Schizosaccharomyces pombe: one gene and its partner. The gene in region 1 interacts genetically with each later gene. Each region holds a gene or a part of one and is shown on either strand. Other genes may lie near its edges.

Region 1 (7,901 bases):
ACTTTGCTGGTAATAGTATCTTCCATTACCCTTCCAATACTGCGGACATGAATACTATTGTTTTCAATACCTTTGTCTGGCTCCAGCTGTTTAACGAAATTAACAATCGGAGATTGGATAACAAGCTCAATATTTTTGAACGTATTAACCATAACTTCCTCTTTATTGCTATTTTCGTTATTGTTGCTGGTATCCAAGTTATAATTGTTTTTTTCGGAGGTGCCGCATTCTCCGTAAAAAGAATCGATGGTAAAGGATGGGCGATTTCCATCGTGTTTGGTGTTATCTCTATCCCACTTGGAGCCTTGATTCGTTGTGTACCAAACAATTTCCTAAGAAAGGTCCTTCCGGTTAAGACAATTGACACTGTTTTCTCTTGGATTCTAAATCCTAGGTTCCGTTCTAAGCGCCGTTCAACCGATCATGATGTTGAATCCCTTAGTCTTATCCCGTATGAACCCACATCTCCCAACGAAGTTATTGACTCTATTCGTCATTCCCTTGGCTTCGTTCAACGCATTAGAGGAGGAAGGATACGCCACCTACTCAACAACTCCAAATTTGATAAACAGATGGAAGCGCTTCCTGAACGTCTTCGTCCCCGTGTAAAACAGAGATTTATGAAGATCCGTTCACCTTCTGTTTCTTCAGCTACTAGCGTAGCTTTAATGATTCCTATCTCAACACTTGTTAGTGAAGCCAGCGGACGATTAGGTGGGCATGACATTTGGATTTCTCACAATCGCCAAGCTCTCGATAAAAAAAGCTCAAATGTTCATTAATTTAAGACGAATGTATGAGACAGAATAACAGTGATTCTATTATCGAATTTTTCTTTTTTATTTCCTTATTCTCGTTGGAAATCGCCTTCTTTTTCTATATTTGTTATCAATTAAAAGTTTGTTTCTTAGGTTTAAAAATTCCCTTTTTGTATAGAAAACGAGTCAGCTTTACCTTTTTCCTTATGTCTACTTTCTTTGTTTATCTTTATGAGTTACTTGGTTTTTGCCTATTAATGGTTTAGCCAGTTTGTTATATACCGCTTGAGCTTTAAGTTTTATGAATGAATAAAGAAAACTCCATTAATTAGAAACATGTTGTTTAACAGAAATATGAGGAAACAACGTACACGTATTTTGAAATAAAAAATGTAAACGTAACATAAAGTAAGGAATGAAATTATCGAATACTCTAGAATCAACGGAATCATCTAAAAGACAATGTGTGAGGATTAAGCATCAACACGGTTTGTTTAGTAGACTACAAAATTTTCAATTCTAAAACTCTTGGATAAAACTTGGGTATATGGTATATAATTAAGGACTTAGTTATCAAGGAGGAAAGGCTTGATGACATACTTGAAAACAGTCCTTGCATAAAGATGATAAGATTCAAAGAAAGAGAAGAAGAAAAAGAAGCTCTTTAAAAAGTAAATAAGTTATGATAATAAATAATAAAAGAAGAGCTCAACCTCATATTCAACAGAATATTTGCGTAAGAAAATTTATAAGAGCGTTCGTTAGTGACCATCATTTGTTAAAGAAGAAGACGGTTCTGATTGAAGGTCATCATCGTCCGTACGATTGACTGAGTATCGTTGACGGACGAGTTGATGAACAAAAATACTAGCCTTCAGGAACCTTTTTGAGGAGTATTTTTGGAAAAAGGCTTTGTGTTCTAGAGGCTTGTTATGATAATGAAGCATAATATACGCTATCTCCTTTAATTCATGCTCTTCATACCCACCAGAGCTTTCAACTAACTTTGGCGTCCATGGGCCGCGACGCAATAATCGGCGGCTCAAATACATTGCGGCAGCAGCAATTTTAGACATAGGATATCGTAATAAATCGTGGTCAAACAGATAAATTTCTGTTAGGTATTTCCCCAATGTCCTTGTTTGTGCATCATAACCTTCTGCTTGAGATATTTTGCGAAGAAAATTTAAAGGACTTGGATAGGACAAGTCAAAATTGAGAACATTTAACATATAACGTTCAGCGACACAGACATCTTCTACGGTAAAAGCACCATCAGTCATGTAAACAAAGTTTTGTATCGAAGGACACATAACCTCCTCATATTTGCTAGCGATGAGAAGAGCAGTAATGCCTGTTAATTGAAATTTAGACAAAGAGCATGAACGACGCGACAAGAATCGATCAATTATATTGACTGCCAAATAAAGGGTTTCGGGCATTAAACAAAAGTTGGAATGTATTTCCACCAACCATTCATTCAAAATTTCCCTCATTTTCCAGGTTAATTCTTTTTGTTGGTCCATATATTTTGGATTGGGAAGACACTTTAAATCCAGCTTTCTGATGTACTCAAATATTTCGGGTGCGTATTCCTCAGCCATCAAAGGATTGGAGGATAAATGATCATCAACATTAGAGACTCTGTCCTTTTGTAAAGTTTCTACAGATGGATCCGCATTTTTGCTATAAACTTTCAACTTTTTCACGAATTTAGATTCGACAGGTTTATCAGCTTCTTCATTTGTAGATAAATTAGATTCATCGAACGATCTTTTCGCTTTTTTCGTATCCTTCTCATCAGCATTATTTTTACCTACATTGGAAACATCAGATAGGACAGTTCGACGTGGCAGATTAATTTCAAAATTTGTAGATAATTTTGTCTTCTCAGTCCCTTTTGATAAAGCTTGTTTGCCAACAAGTGTGTTTTCATCTTGATAACTATGCTTATTGATTTTAGAACCAACAGGCTTTGAAATTGAATAGAGAGCCATATGAAATATGGATTGATAAATTACCCTTTTATCAACGTATAGAAATATATCTGATTGTTTGTAACCAAAAATGTCTTCTTTTTATTAAAATAAGGAAACTGTTTTTGGTAAATTAATCTCAATTGACAAGATGGATAAATTAGGGAAATTGAGCGATCGAGAAACAGAAAGCACTTATAGCGAATTTTTAAAGTTTCTCTTTTAAATGAGAATAAATCAATGGGTCCGAATTATTCTATTGTTGTTGATAGGAAGAAAGGGAAAGAAATCGTCCAAACATAAACAAATGAATTGTGTAAACAAACCAAACCAACCTACTGTTGTGGATATAAACGAAAAAAAAAAACAAGCAGATGTAATCAAAATTGAGAAAGAAAAAAAAGTAAAGATAAATTTTTTAACGTTCGATTCGAAAATGAATTTACCTCTTTGAGGTATGCAGAATTAACTCTTATAAAGCACAAGAGCGTAGTTTAAAGGGACAATGATTAACGAAGAGAATTAAAAAGAACACTTCTTTGTAATTAGTTTAGAAAAAGCAAAGTTGAAGGTTTGATAAACAAACGATGGATCAGAAAAAGCAGCACTAAGACGAACAATACAAGCAAATAAGTTTGATAGTTCGAATTTAAAAGAATAACAAATGTAGGTGTTATTTTTCCAGCAAGAAAAGCGAGTAAAACCTTTTCAGCTTGAGGGCGAGAGCAATGCTGAAAGGCTAAATAAATTGCAATTGGGAAGACTGTAGGATAGCAATTGTTGCACTAATATCGAAAGGGGACGATTAATTATGTTTTAATAAGATATAGTGTACTTGTTATAAGAGAAATGACTGTCTTTGGCAAGCGCCTCCTGTAAAAGAGTAGGACAATAAGCGAACCAGAACAAAGAAAACAAAGAAACTTAAAACGGTAAAGTACACAATAGAAACCGACACTTAGCAGCTGAAAAGTGTAAAAAATTAATTAAAAGAAAATAAGTACAGTAGAAATAAGATACTCCGGAGTAAAAACTAGCTTGACACTCAAAATACTGAAAGCTTAATTTACTATTGTTTACAGTTAAAACCAGCTCAACCTAGTATATGGAGCCTAAACTGATCCCTATAGCATGTATTTGAAAAAAGAAATTAGAAAGAAGGAATATTCAAAGAGAAAAGAAGAAACGCAAAAAGCAGCGACAACAAGAGAAGGACTTCAAGGTGGATCCAACCTTTGGTAGAGTCTTGTAAAAGGGAAATTACACTTGTACAAGTGCCTTTGAAGCCTTTCTTGTAACTCAACACAAGTCAAAGTGTCAGTGAAAAAGCAAAAGACAGGCATAGCAAGCATATAAAAGAAGTAAACGCGACGCGACGCGAGAAACGCGCTTTCGCGCAAGCTAAGTTGCGTGCACCTCGTTTTGGCGTGTTTTAGAGCGCGCGCTTTGGTGTAGCGTTTTGTATATTACAATTCACTATGCGCGTGCCGTCATTACATGCTACACAAACTAACGCAATTTGAATAGAATTAAAAAGGGAGAGTTCGCTAATACTTTATATCGCAGTTACACTATAATTCGCTATATGCTGAGCTTGGAAGGAATAATGTTGTTTGTCAAGAAACACAAGCATCTGTTAATAAAAGTTTGGTAAACGTCTCGTAACGTCGATAAGCCAGTACTTTATATAATCAAAGAAGAATTTTTAAATCATATCAGATAACCAATCGTAATGCTTTCTGTGAATTACACCTACCAAGACATTGTTCTGTGCAACAACATAAGCAAAATAAAACAGTATTCAGCAATAGCGCTTTAACATTAAATCTAATTTACGACATTTTTTTTAAAAAAAAAGTCAAGGAATAACAATAAGGCATAAATCACGACACTAATTTCCATTCTCTATGTCATTTGGATGGACATGAACATGAACATGATCGCTTTCAAATTGATATTGAGGTTGATCCAAAAAATAACTTCCGATAAAAATTATTTTTTCTTATAGAGCTCTTTTACATTATTTCCAACATTTTGTCATGAAAGGGCATGAACACAAAAAAGAGGAGAAACAGAATTTCAAAGCTTCATTAAAGAATATCAAGCGTACAGCAAAAAGATAATTGAATAACGTCTGATTGATATACATGGCCTGTGGTGTCAAGTTGACCAATAAACTAAAAAATGCACAAGACCGTGGTACGTTGTGCAAATTAATTTGCAATGTGGACTCAATCCTTTTTAGTAGTTTCCTCTTCACTATCCTTTGGCTGTTCAGGGGCCAAAGCATTTATTTCTTTTAGAATTTTGTGAAGCTCTCCTCTACAGACAAATTGTTAATACAGAAATGTTGACAAGGAGAAATAATTAAATATGAGAGAAAAAATGAGGGAGAGAACAATGTGGCATATATAGACGACGAATTAAAGACACTGATACACTAATAGTTGATTTTTATCCAATGCTTTAAAAGGGAAAGTTCATTTGAAGAAAGAGCGAAAATATAACAGGGTTTTTTTATCTTTAATATCAACTAGAGTGATTAAACAGTTGTAGAATCCTCCTTCATCATCTTTAACATTTCCTATGACACCTCCTCAATCCTCACCGTCTCTCTACCAAATAATAAAAATACAGTTTAAAACATTACTTACGATTTATGCATGGACGCCAAGATATCACTACCGCCCACGAATTCTCCGTTAATATAAAGTTGAGGAATCGTAGGCCAGTCGCTGAACTCCTTTATACCTTCACGTAGCTCATCATTACTCAAAACGTTGTACGTAACTAATTTATCGGAAGCAACGTTTTCTAATGAAAGAATTTGAATCGCCTTTAATGAAAATCCACACATTGGGCGGGTAGGTGTACCTTTCATGAATAAAACGATAGGATCCTCTTTGACGGCCTGTTCAAGAGCTTGACGAGTTTGTGTGGACAGCATGCGAAGTTGCATGGATATACTGGTTTTAGGAATCCAAAATCTAAACATCGAATTCATCTTGAATATGGATATTGTAAAGTGTTTATAATAAGGCAATTTTGAGCTTGAATGTCAACTCATTGATTCGCCGCAGATAAAAGTGTAAGAAGCCGTACCACGTTCTATTGCGCTATATAGAATTCTTCCAAGTCTTAAATCAGTATAATATTATAGAAAATCAGTACTTTTAGAAAAGTTTTATAAGAATATTTATTTTATTAGAAAAGTATATCGTGGGATAAAAGACTTAATATTGTACTAATCAGTTTCTGATTTCGAGAAGAACGCAGCTAAATCAAATTCCTTAATGAATATAGATTTTGCAATCCATCTGGCTCCCTTGGCCCTTTATTTCTATTAAAGGAATGTAAAAATATAATGGATCCTGGCTCTTTTCCGAAATTCCTGATAACTCATATTTGTTCTCTATAAAATATATGCATAGCTTCCGCTCCAACTTATGGTAGTTTATTATGTTCTTTGGGTCCTCTCTGTTTTCCAAAGTAAATATATTCCTCTTACTTTTACCTTATCCTTTGAAGTACTTTTACAGTTTTTTGCCTCTTTCCCTATCCGTCTCACTGAGCGATAGTAGTTCACAGGGTAATGAATAATGTAATTAACTATATAAGTCTGGAAATAACATATATATTATGTAGCTGTAAAACATTTACTAAGTAATGTATCCGCTTTTTTGTAATTCGTATGAGTTGAGTGTAAACTTGTTCTTGACAGTATTGTTCAAACATGACATATGTAATCCTCATCCATTTGCAAAAGTCCATTGTATACTCCTATAACAAACTAGGCAACCATATATCTCTTTTTTTTTTTAATCTATTCATTTTAATTAATTTGATAGTTTAAAAAAGATTTCTTCATATTAAAATTATTGAAATTTCCAACTAAGATTGCACCACTATGATTTGGTTTTGGTCAACTTTGTTAGTTACCGCAATAGCTGTATTATCCACTGCAAATGAATCCTCTTCTGGTCAAGAGAAATTAGCAGTTGAATCAATCCTTTTCGTCTTTGCTCATCCCGATGATGAATCTATGTTTTTTGGTCCCACCATCGACTATTTAGGCAATCAGCATTCTACTCGAGTTCATGTTTTGTGTCTTTCTAATGGTATGAAACAGTTGGTCCAGTTTTCCATTTTATCAATTATGTGTCGAACTAACTCCGATTTTAGGCAATGCCGATGGGCTCGGAAGCGTTAGAGAAAAAGAGTTGGTCGTCGCTGCTTCTAAGTACCAAATTGATAAAACCAATGTTCATGTTGTGTCAGATCCTCAATTGCAAGACGGTATGCAGGCAAAATGGGATCCAACCGATGTAGCGAAACACATTTCTCAAATAATTGAACGTTACAACATTAAAACGGTACGCTTTATTTTTGGTCAGTTATCCAATTAATAGACCATCTAATATAATTTTAGCTCATTACCTTTGACAATAAAGGAATATCCGGTCACCCAAACCATATCGCATGTTACGAAGGTGCCATGTAAGTATTACTTATTTACACGATTGTCAGCTAATATCATCTTGTTTATAGGAAAATTGTCAAAGCTACTCCCCAAGTTCAAGTCTTCGTTTTAGAGTCGGTTAATATATTTCGAAAATACATCTCATATTTGGACACCATTCCCACTCTTGTCCAAAGTCAGGCGGGTCGAAACGATACAATAATCATTCACGCAGATCGAAAATCTACTCAGCGCATACGCGATGCTATGGTACGAGGACACAAAAGTCAAATGGTTTGGTTTCGCTACGGCTGGATATACTTGTCTAAGTATATGTCTAACAATGTATTAAAGCGGGCTACTTAAACTTACAGTATACAGCACCATACGAGAATAATTTTAAAAACTGCCTCACATAAAATCATTCAGAATAAACCCTAACGTTTTCAACTTGTGTTACGATCAATTTCTTTTTTAAAACTTTGCCTATTTTCAGCATGCTACAAAATCTTAGGTCTTTTAATTAAAAAATATTTTTATTAAAGACTTAATTGAAGATTAAAAAAAATCTTTAAGCCAAAATATGCATTTGTCTTCTTGTACCACTCAGATACCGTTGTAGTCTTTTGAGAAATCATTGTGCCTTCACCGAACGGATTCTCCAGCATCAAATACAGTGTCATCAGCGTAGTTTCATAAGAGCTATTA
Region 2 (7,238 bases), on another chromosome or scaffold:
TTCTGACGATATCAGTGCTGGATTAAAAACTATTCATTGACTAGATTCTTAATAAAGTTAAAAGCAACGGGATCACCCACAAACGATCTCATGCTTATCATTTGTAACTTTGAATATCTATCTATTAGATTAGGCTGATTGAGTAATGTCTTATACTATGGCTTAGTTCGAACAGGCTAGCTGCTTCCAATCAATACTTTATTAGCAAGTTTGTTATTACATATCTATTTTATAAAAAACAAAAAAATCATCTAAACTAGTCAAAATTCCTTACTAATTTGTAATACAGAACACTAGCTTAACTTCTACGAATACTTGAAAAGGAGGCTTAACCGTTAAAGCACATATCAACTTTCGGAACTTTAATATTCTATAAAACTAAATGATAGAATACATACCTTCCACTTGGTTCCACTTTTAACTCTTAAAGAAATGCTTTTGAGTAATCTTTAGAAGGAAATATCAAAATTCTTTAACCAGTTTGGGTGAAAGCTATAGTATTAAAGAGTAAAAATTTTATTTATAAATGTAAGTAAAAATAGGTACTATGTTGTGATAGCAAATCACTAAACAATAAACCCAAACCACACAAAAACATTGGATTCAAGTCCCCTCGGTAAAAATATAATAATGTACCCATAGCCCAAAAAATGCAATGAAACTTTTTACGATCTGTCTTTGACTATTAGTTTGCAGAAAAAAGCATCTGCACAGAAAGACTTCTGGTTCCCCTGAAAAGACTGAAAAAATCCAATAATACCACAAAGGACTTTCCAGACAAACATTGAGAGTTTAAAAATAAAAAAAAACCCCGAATTGGTCATTAAAATAATATAGGTGAAACGACGTATTCGTATGCTCCTTGCTATCATCTTTGACTAGCTCCTCTAGTCGTCTCCCTTAACAACACCAACCTTGGCAGGACGAATAACTCTTCCATTCAATTGAAAACCCTTGCTTTCGCAATGGAAGACAGTGTTGGGCTTTTTACCTTCAACAGGGATTTGGAAAACAGCTTCATGGATGTTAGGATCAAAATCTTCTCCGATACCGTCATAGCGAACTAAACCATATTTTCCTAAGGTTTTCATTAAGTTCGATTCAGTCATTGCTAAACCTTCATAAAGATCAACTAAATCCTTGTTGGACTCACGATTGTTACGCTTCTCCTCTGGAACAATTGAAAGAGCACGCTCCAAATTATCGACAGAATCCAAAAGATCCTTAGTAAGCTTTTGAACAGCAAATGCACGTGTTTGCTCCATGTCTCTCTTCATGCGGTTTTCCAAATTACGATAGTCAGCTAAGCTTTGGCGAATGCTACCCTTTAACTCCGCAACCTCTTTGTCCTTTGCTTCATATTTACTTTTAAGCTCAGAAAGCTTAGATTGAAGTTCCTTAACATCAACATTCTCTGTTTCGGCAACTTTTTCTTCAGCAGGCTTTTCTTCCTTAGCAGCCTCAGTTGAGTACCAAAGGAAACTGCGTTTATTAATGGGTGCTCGAATAAGCGTCCGAGGACGTACAGCGGATGAAAATACTCTTCCAAGCCCAAGCATTGTTTCAGTGAGAGCTTTGTGGTAAAAGACAACTGTGTCACACTATAGACAAATGGTGTTGTGAACTTAGCACTGTTAAATTTTACAAATATCAATTTCATCAACTTAAAAATTCGTTATGTTTCGTTAAATGAGGTATGGACTTTGAGATGGAAGCTGATTCAAAAAATATATAAATGACACTTTTTTCTCAAATTAAAGCTTCTATTTCGATATGTAACAAATTGATTGTAGGTTTGAACATGCATGTAGGAAAGCAACCCAAATTTCGAATTTGCTCAACACTGGAAGCCAACAACGGCTCATATGCTTATCAATTATTAATTTATTCTTTTCAGCTTCATTCTCAACAGATAATAATTAACTGATTTCTCATCTATATTTATATCCTTCTTGGTATGCTTTACGGCATTGGATTATATCGAAGTACTTACTTCGCAGCCTTTGAAAGTAAAATAATTGAATATTATAATTTAAGTTTTAAAATAATCCTATTTGTGTCATCTGGGCCATCTTATTATTTTTACATTCATCAGTTTATTTGCATAATGATATTTGTTGAACAATTTATGGGAGTCGAATTTTCACAAATTCCTATTATAATAATATCATATTCTTAATTACAGAAGTCTTCATAATAAAAGGTACCTTAGTTAAGTGTCAGATATGTCTTATCGGTATTGGACCTTACACTTTCATCCACCATCACTACTTAAACTCAGGAATACATTTGAGGATTGTAGAGGCAGAGCCATAGCTTTCTGTTAAATATTTATCTAAGCTTTGTGAAAATTTACGATTCAACCACTGAACACTTTTAATCGCCTACTAGTCCAGAAGTTGCGCTTTCAAGTAGCACCATACTCTCCTATTTTCCTGCTTGGACGTTTACCTAGATTTTCTAAATACTTATCTCTCTAAATCATGTCTTCACAATCATATCGAGAACGGACACTTGTTTCTGTAATTGGAGACGATGATACCGTTACTGGGATGCTTTTAGCTGGAACTGGTCAGGTAAATGAAAACGGTGACAAAAACTTTTTTATAATTACTCAGAGTAAGATTATCTGTTAAAAAATGGAATCGTGTTTTCGCTAACTTGCTGTTTTATGTAGAGACTACAGATGAGCAGATTGCTGAAGCTTTTGATGATTATACTACGAAAAGGAAGGATATTGCGATTGTATTGATTAACCAGTTTGCCGCTGAAAGAATACGTGATCGTATTGAAAACCATGTGCAGGCATTCCCTGCTGTATTGGAAATTCCTAGCAAAGACGATCCTTATGATCCTGAAAAGGACAGTATCCTCCGTCGTGTTAGAAAGATCATTGGAGAATAGACTATTAATATTTAATTATATTTTTTGAGCAATAATTTCAATTAGTCAACAACTCGATCGATTTGACTGATGACACTTTTATATTTGTATCTTTTGGTTTACTTACTGGCATACTAGCAAAAAATTGTAAGCAGAGTTTTTGTTAAACTATATTTGATAAATAGAAAAGTGATTATAAGAGAAATGTATTATTTTAAGTATAAATCTCATTCAACATCAAAACTGACATTACAACCACAAGAAGTCTTGGCACGTGGATTGTTTAAAAGTTGAAAAGAGGAACCAATAAGTTCATTTGTATACTCAATTTCAGAGCCACTTATCAAAGGTAATGAAATGTTGTCAGCAACAACCCTGGCTTTTCCACGCACAAATACCCTAGATATTTAGTCAATAACCAGGAAATACTTAATTAAAACTTATAGTCTTCTTAACCACATCACTTACGTGTCAGCATTTCCAATTTTGTTGTCCATGCGAAAAGATACTTGATATCCATGGCATCCACCACCATCGACAGTGACGCGCAAAACAGAGTTTTCTTCTGGTTTCCTTTCTGCAATTTTTTCTAACTGTTTTTTCGCTGAATCTTTCACGTATAAAATAAAAGGGATTCCCTTCTCGTCACATTGCTCTTGAAGCGTGAATTGGTCGTTCGCAAGCTTTGAGCTATAAAATCGATTTTTGATTTTGAATTCATTATTTATTTTGGGAAATATTTCTTTCGTTAATGTATTCGATTTCGCATCAATTCTACATGATCGAGAATTTCTAAGCGATCCATGCGATAGCTGTCGAATTGCGATCACAGGATTTAAGAGTGTTTGAAAACAACGTTCTCGAAAGAAAAATGGTCCTTTAAACAATAAGTTTACTCGCGATTTCATAAGCATCACTGCAAAGTATTATAGCCACAAGTTAGGACTTTCTAACTTGTAAACATACAGTAACGTAATAGAAGTCAAATTGCCTACGCTCTGTTTCGTTAATTCAGTATATTCCAAATTGGTGCTTATGTTTATGAGATAGAGAAGTTAAGTACATAAATGAAATAGTCATAACTTGACGAGTGTGTCATAGACTAAAGTCAAATTCAGGGATTTACCTATTAGTTAACACCCAATCTCTAAGAGATTTATATCGGATAGATTGAATTCGAACTTACAAAACTCTCACACCCATAGCTAGTAGAGAATAAGGGGAATTTATCAAATATATCTAGAATTATTTAATGTTCTTTTTTACTTATGTTGTATGCTACTAAATTTTGTGATGATTTATAGTCAAAATTAATATCTTTGGATTATTTTTACCTTTTGGTACTCCTACTCCTTTAATTCTCTTTCAGTTTTAAATGAATAGATTTTTAGCTATTAGAGATAATTTCAACCCATTTGGTTAATTCTTCTTCTGGATATTTATTGTCGATCCTTTAATTCTAGCATAGACCGGTGGATCACATCCAGAAAATGTCTTTATCACAATTGATGCCATTGCTACAATCTTCTACTTTAGCTAATTCTTTATCGTGATACCAGTGTATGTACTACCGCTTAATTACTATAAAGTTGCGGGTGTTCGTACAAGCACATATCACCGCAATTGTAATATTGAATCAGGTATAAGAGATCTTGGCTATTAGACTTAGAATTGGTTGTATCTGCAATAAAAAAAATAAATTATAAATTGCATGCCAATGAACAATAATTCACCCTTGCACGTAATTAATATTTATTAAAATGTAATTTACAATTTAACGTATGGTTGAAAATATTACATGTTTTATTTACTAAGAATTTGCAAAATTTAAAAATAAACAAAACTAGAAAATTAGAAAACTATTTTATTAAAAAAGATTGAAAGGCTGTAAATTAAGACCCTAAAGATGAGTACTGTTAATTTAAATAGATTTAATCTCTTAAAACAACAGCTAAAAAGTTACAGGTATACAAAAAATAATAAAAAAAACTAACAATAATCTAAGAAAGGCTTCTGATATCTTGAAGATCTTTTACTGTTGTATGTAATTTCACAAATAAAATAGAGAATCCATTTAAGCTCTTGAGTTTTAAATGAATATTTGATTCCTTTTTTATTATTATGAATACAAAGGAATTGCTCGATTAATAAAAACTATCAAATTGTTTAGCTTTCTTCATCCACAATCAAATGATTCTATTTTATTAAGGAACTTAATCTTCAAGAAGAAAATTCAGTTTTACATTCCATCTCCCTCTACCCTAAAAAGCTAAAGAATTACAAATATACTCGTATTTACGCGTTTCTCATAAATTCGTTGTAGGACTGGCCTGTCTTACGCTAACTCGTGTAGGTCGTTGTCTACGATACTCAACCAGAACTGCCCCCTATTGTTAGCTATTTGTTTGGTATTTCTACTGGTATTACCGCTACCAGTAAAAAATAAAATCAAAATATGAATGAATTAAAGCATGCGGTAGTTCCGATAGACTTACAATCTTTTTGTCTGGAAGGAACTTTGGCGTTGTGGGTTCCAGCTCTCGAAAACGACTCGGAAGACGATTCTGAAGCTATAGAAACAGCTGATGATAATGAAAAACTTTTTAAAAAGGAATGTGTAGCATATGATGCAGGTGTTTATACCTCAAATAAAAGCAAAGGTTCACAAACTTTACGATGGAGTATATTCCAAAACAGAACACTCACTATCTTTGATGTTTCATTAAATTCTAAGAAGGAGCCTTTATCAAAATTTAATGTGAAAATTCATTTTCCATCCAACGTAATGAAGGACGGTGTAGCTTTCTCGTTCAGTGAGCATTCCGACACGACCATTATATATGCTATTACTCACGCTCGCGTTTTGTATTATATTAGATTATCTAAAACTTGGTTCCAATTACCGGACGCTCGCTTAGACGACGATTGGTGTCTTTGTTACCGACCAATATCCTTTCTGAATCAAAAACCCGATTTAATGGCCGCAATTAGCACGTCTGAAATTTGTGTAAGCTTTTTCAATGGAGGTTTAACAAAGATTATATTAAATCCAAAAGACGCTAGTCACTACGAACAGCATATTGATGATTCTAGTTATTTGTTTTCCCTAAAAAAATATCTATCACTTCAGGCATTTAAGGCAGATTACCGCTCTCCTAATACTATTATTTCAATGATTTTTTTGTCTACCTATAATGTTCTTGTGATGCTATCGCTTGACTATAAGTTAAAAGTTTTGGATTTGTCTACTAATCAATGCGTCGAAACCATTGAACTGTCACAGACTATACTTCCTCTACAATCCTTTCCTTATTTAACTTCAGATCACACCACTAATTCTTTCATCGCTCTGTATTACCCAGATAATTCTCATGGCTCTTTTTCAATTTACAAACTTAACGCAAACGCCCACTCTTTTAAATTAAATGTTGTCATCGAGAAGGGCATAATTCCTCCTTCTTTACCAGACGATGAGTTCATACCATGGATGCTTTCTGATTTTCAACTGATATCGTCAGAGGGCTCTCAATCTAAATTTTTGCTCATTATTGCTTGGAAAAGCAACTTAAATACCGTTATCCAAAAATGCAACCTTAGTCTAGATCAGGACGAGAGTTTTTCATGCGTTTGGAGTCACTCTTTGGATAGCTTTTCCCTCATAGAAAAAACCTTTTTTGACGTTCCAACAAACATGTCGTCTGGGGATATCTCAGAGATTTGGCTACAACACATTTTTGCACATAATACATCTATTGAGTCTATACAAGTTGCTCTTTTAAGCTTTCAAAACAGCTCCTCGCAAGTTTCAAAAAATAAACTGGATAAATTTGGCGCACTTACTATAAGTGAACTTAAAAATGCCGTTTTGTCGTCTATAGTTTCAACGATCCAAATAGAGCCAAATTCAGATTTAACTGGATACGATTATTATGAATATAAGCGGCTATTATATAATGAATGGGAAAGGTTTGCGAAACTTGTTGCATATCTGGATCATTTTGGAGATGAAATATTAAGTATTAACTTCGATCCTTCGAACGCTGTTACATATATCAATTATGCAAATAAAGTGGCTTTTATTAGGGATCCTTATCTCATTGAATCCTTTGACGAAGAGCCGTTGACCAAATTAATTAGTTCCCTTGAAACAGATGATCCTTCTCTAATTGAAGGTTATCAAATTCTGGATCTTGGTAGGAGTTTACATTCCTGTATGTCATTTTCTACTTTATCTGAAATTAGATACTCATTACGAGAACTAGTCCAGGATTTGCCATCTTATTCTTTATTTGATACATTGTGGGTATTTTATGACAAGCACATATATCCCAACGTCGATCCAGATTATATCAGTA

Evidence for each region. A genetic interaction does not mean that the proteins touch.
Region 2: of grx5 (region 1) and isa2, extra expression of one rescues a mutant of the other (dosage rescue), as found in Schizosaccharomyces pombe (one study listed by BioGRID).

The regions. Positions count from the first base shown.
Region 1 is NC_003424.3:2,705,934-2,713,834, reverse strand, and holds grx5 (mitochondrial [2Fe-2S] cluster assembly and transfer glutaredoxin Grx5), read right to left. Parts: upstream 5,788-7,901; 5' UTR 5,739-5,787; coding exon 5,389-5,738; exon of another isoform or gene 5,057-5,388; coding exon 4,966-5,056; 3' UTR 4,526-4,965; downstream 1-4,525. Other genes in the region: P2 type calcium transporting P-type ATPase Pmc1, read left to right, coding at 1-782; G1/S-specific B-type cyclin Cig2, read right to left, coding at 1,520-2,755; gpi12 (pig-L family GPI synthesis protein), read left to right, coding at 6,642-6,852, 6,917-7,107, 7,164-7,231, 7,283-7,559. UniProt on the Schizosaccharomyces pombe protein: Monothiol glutaredoxin involved in mitochondrial iron-sulfur (Fe/S) cluster transfer. Receives 2Fe/2S clusters from scaffold protein isu1 and mediates their transfer to apoproteins, to the 4Fe/FS cluster biosynthesis machinery, or export from mitochondrion.
Region 2 is NC_003423.3:4,016,868-4,024,105, reverse strand, and holds isa2 (Fe-sulfur protein Isa2), read right to left. Parts: upstream 3,835-7,238; 5' UTR 3,798-3,834; coding exon 3,352-3,797; exon of another isoform or gene 3,314-3,351; intron 3,283-3,313; coding exon 3,111-3,282; 3' UTR 2,999-3,110; downstream 1-2,998. Other genes in the region: GrpE domain-containing chaperone mge1, read right to left, coding at 888-1,559; vma7 (V-type ATPase V1 subunit F), read left to right, coding at 2,484-2,619, 2,678-2,904; nucleoporin, WD repeat Nup120, read left to right, coding at 5,339-7,238. UniProt on the Schizosaccharomyces pombe protein: Involved in the assembly of mitochondrial and cytoplasmic iron-sulfur proteins. Probably involved in the binding of an intermediate of Fe/S cluster assembly.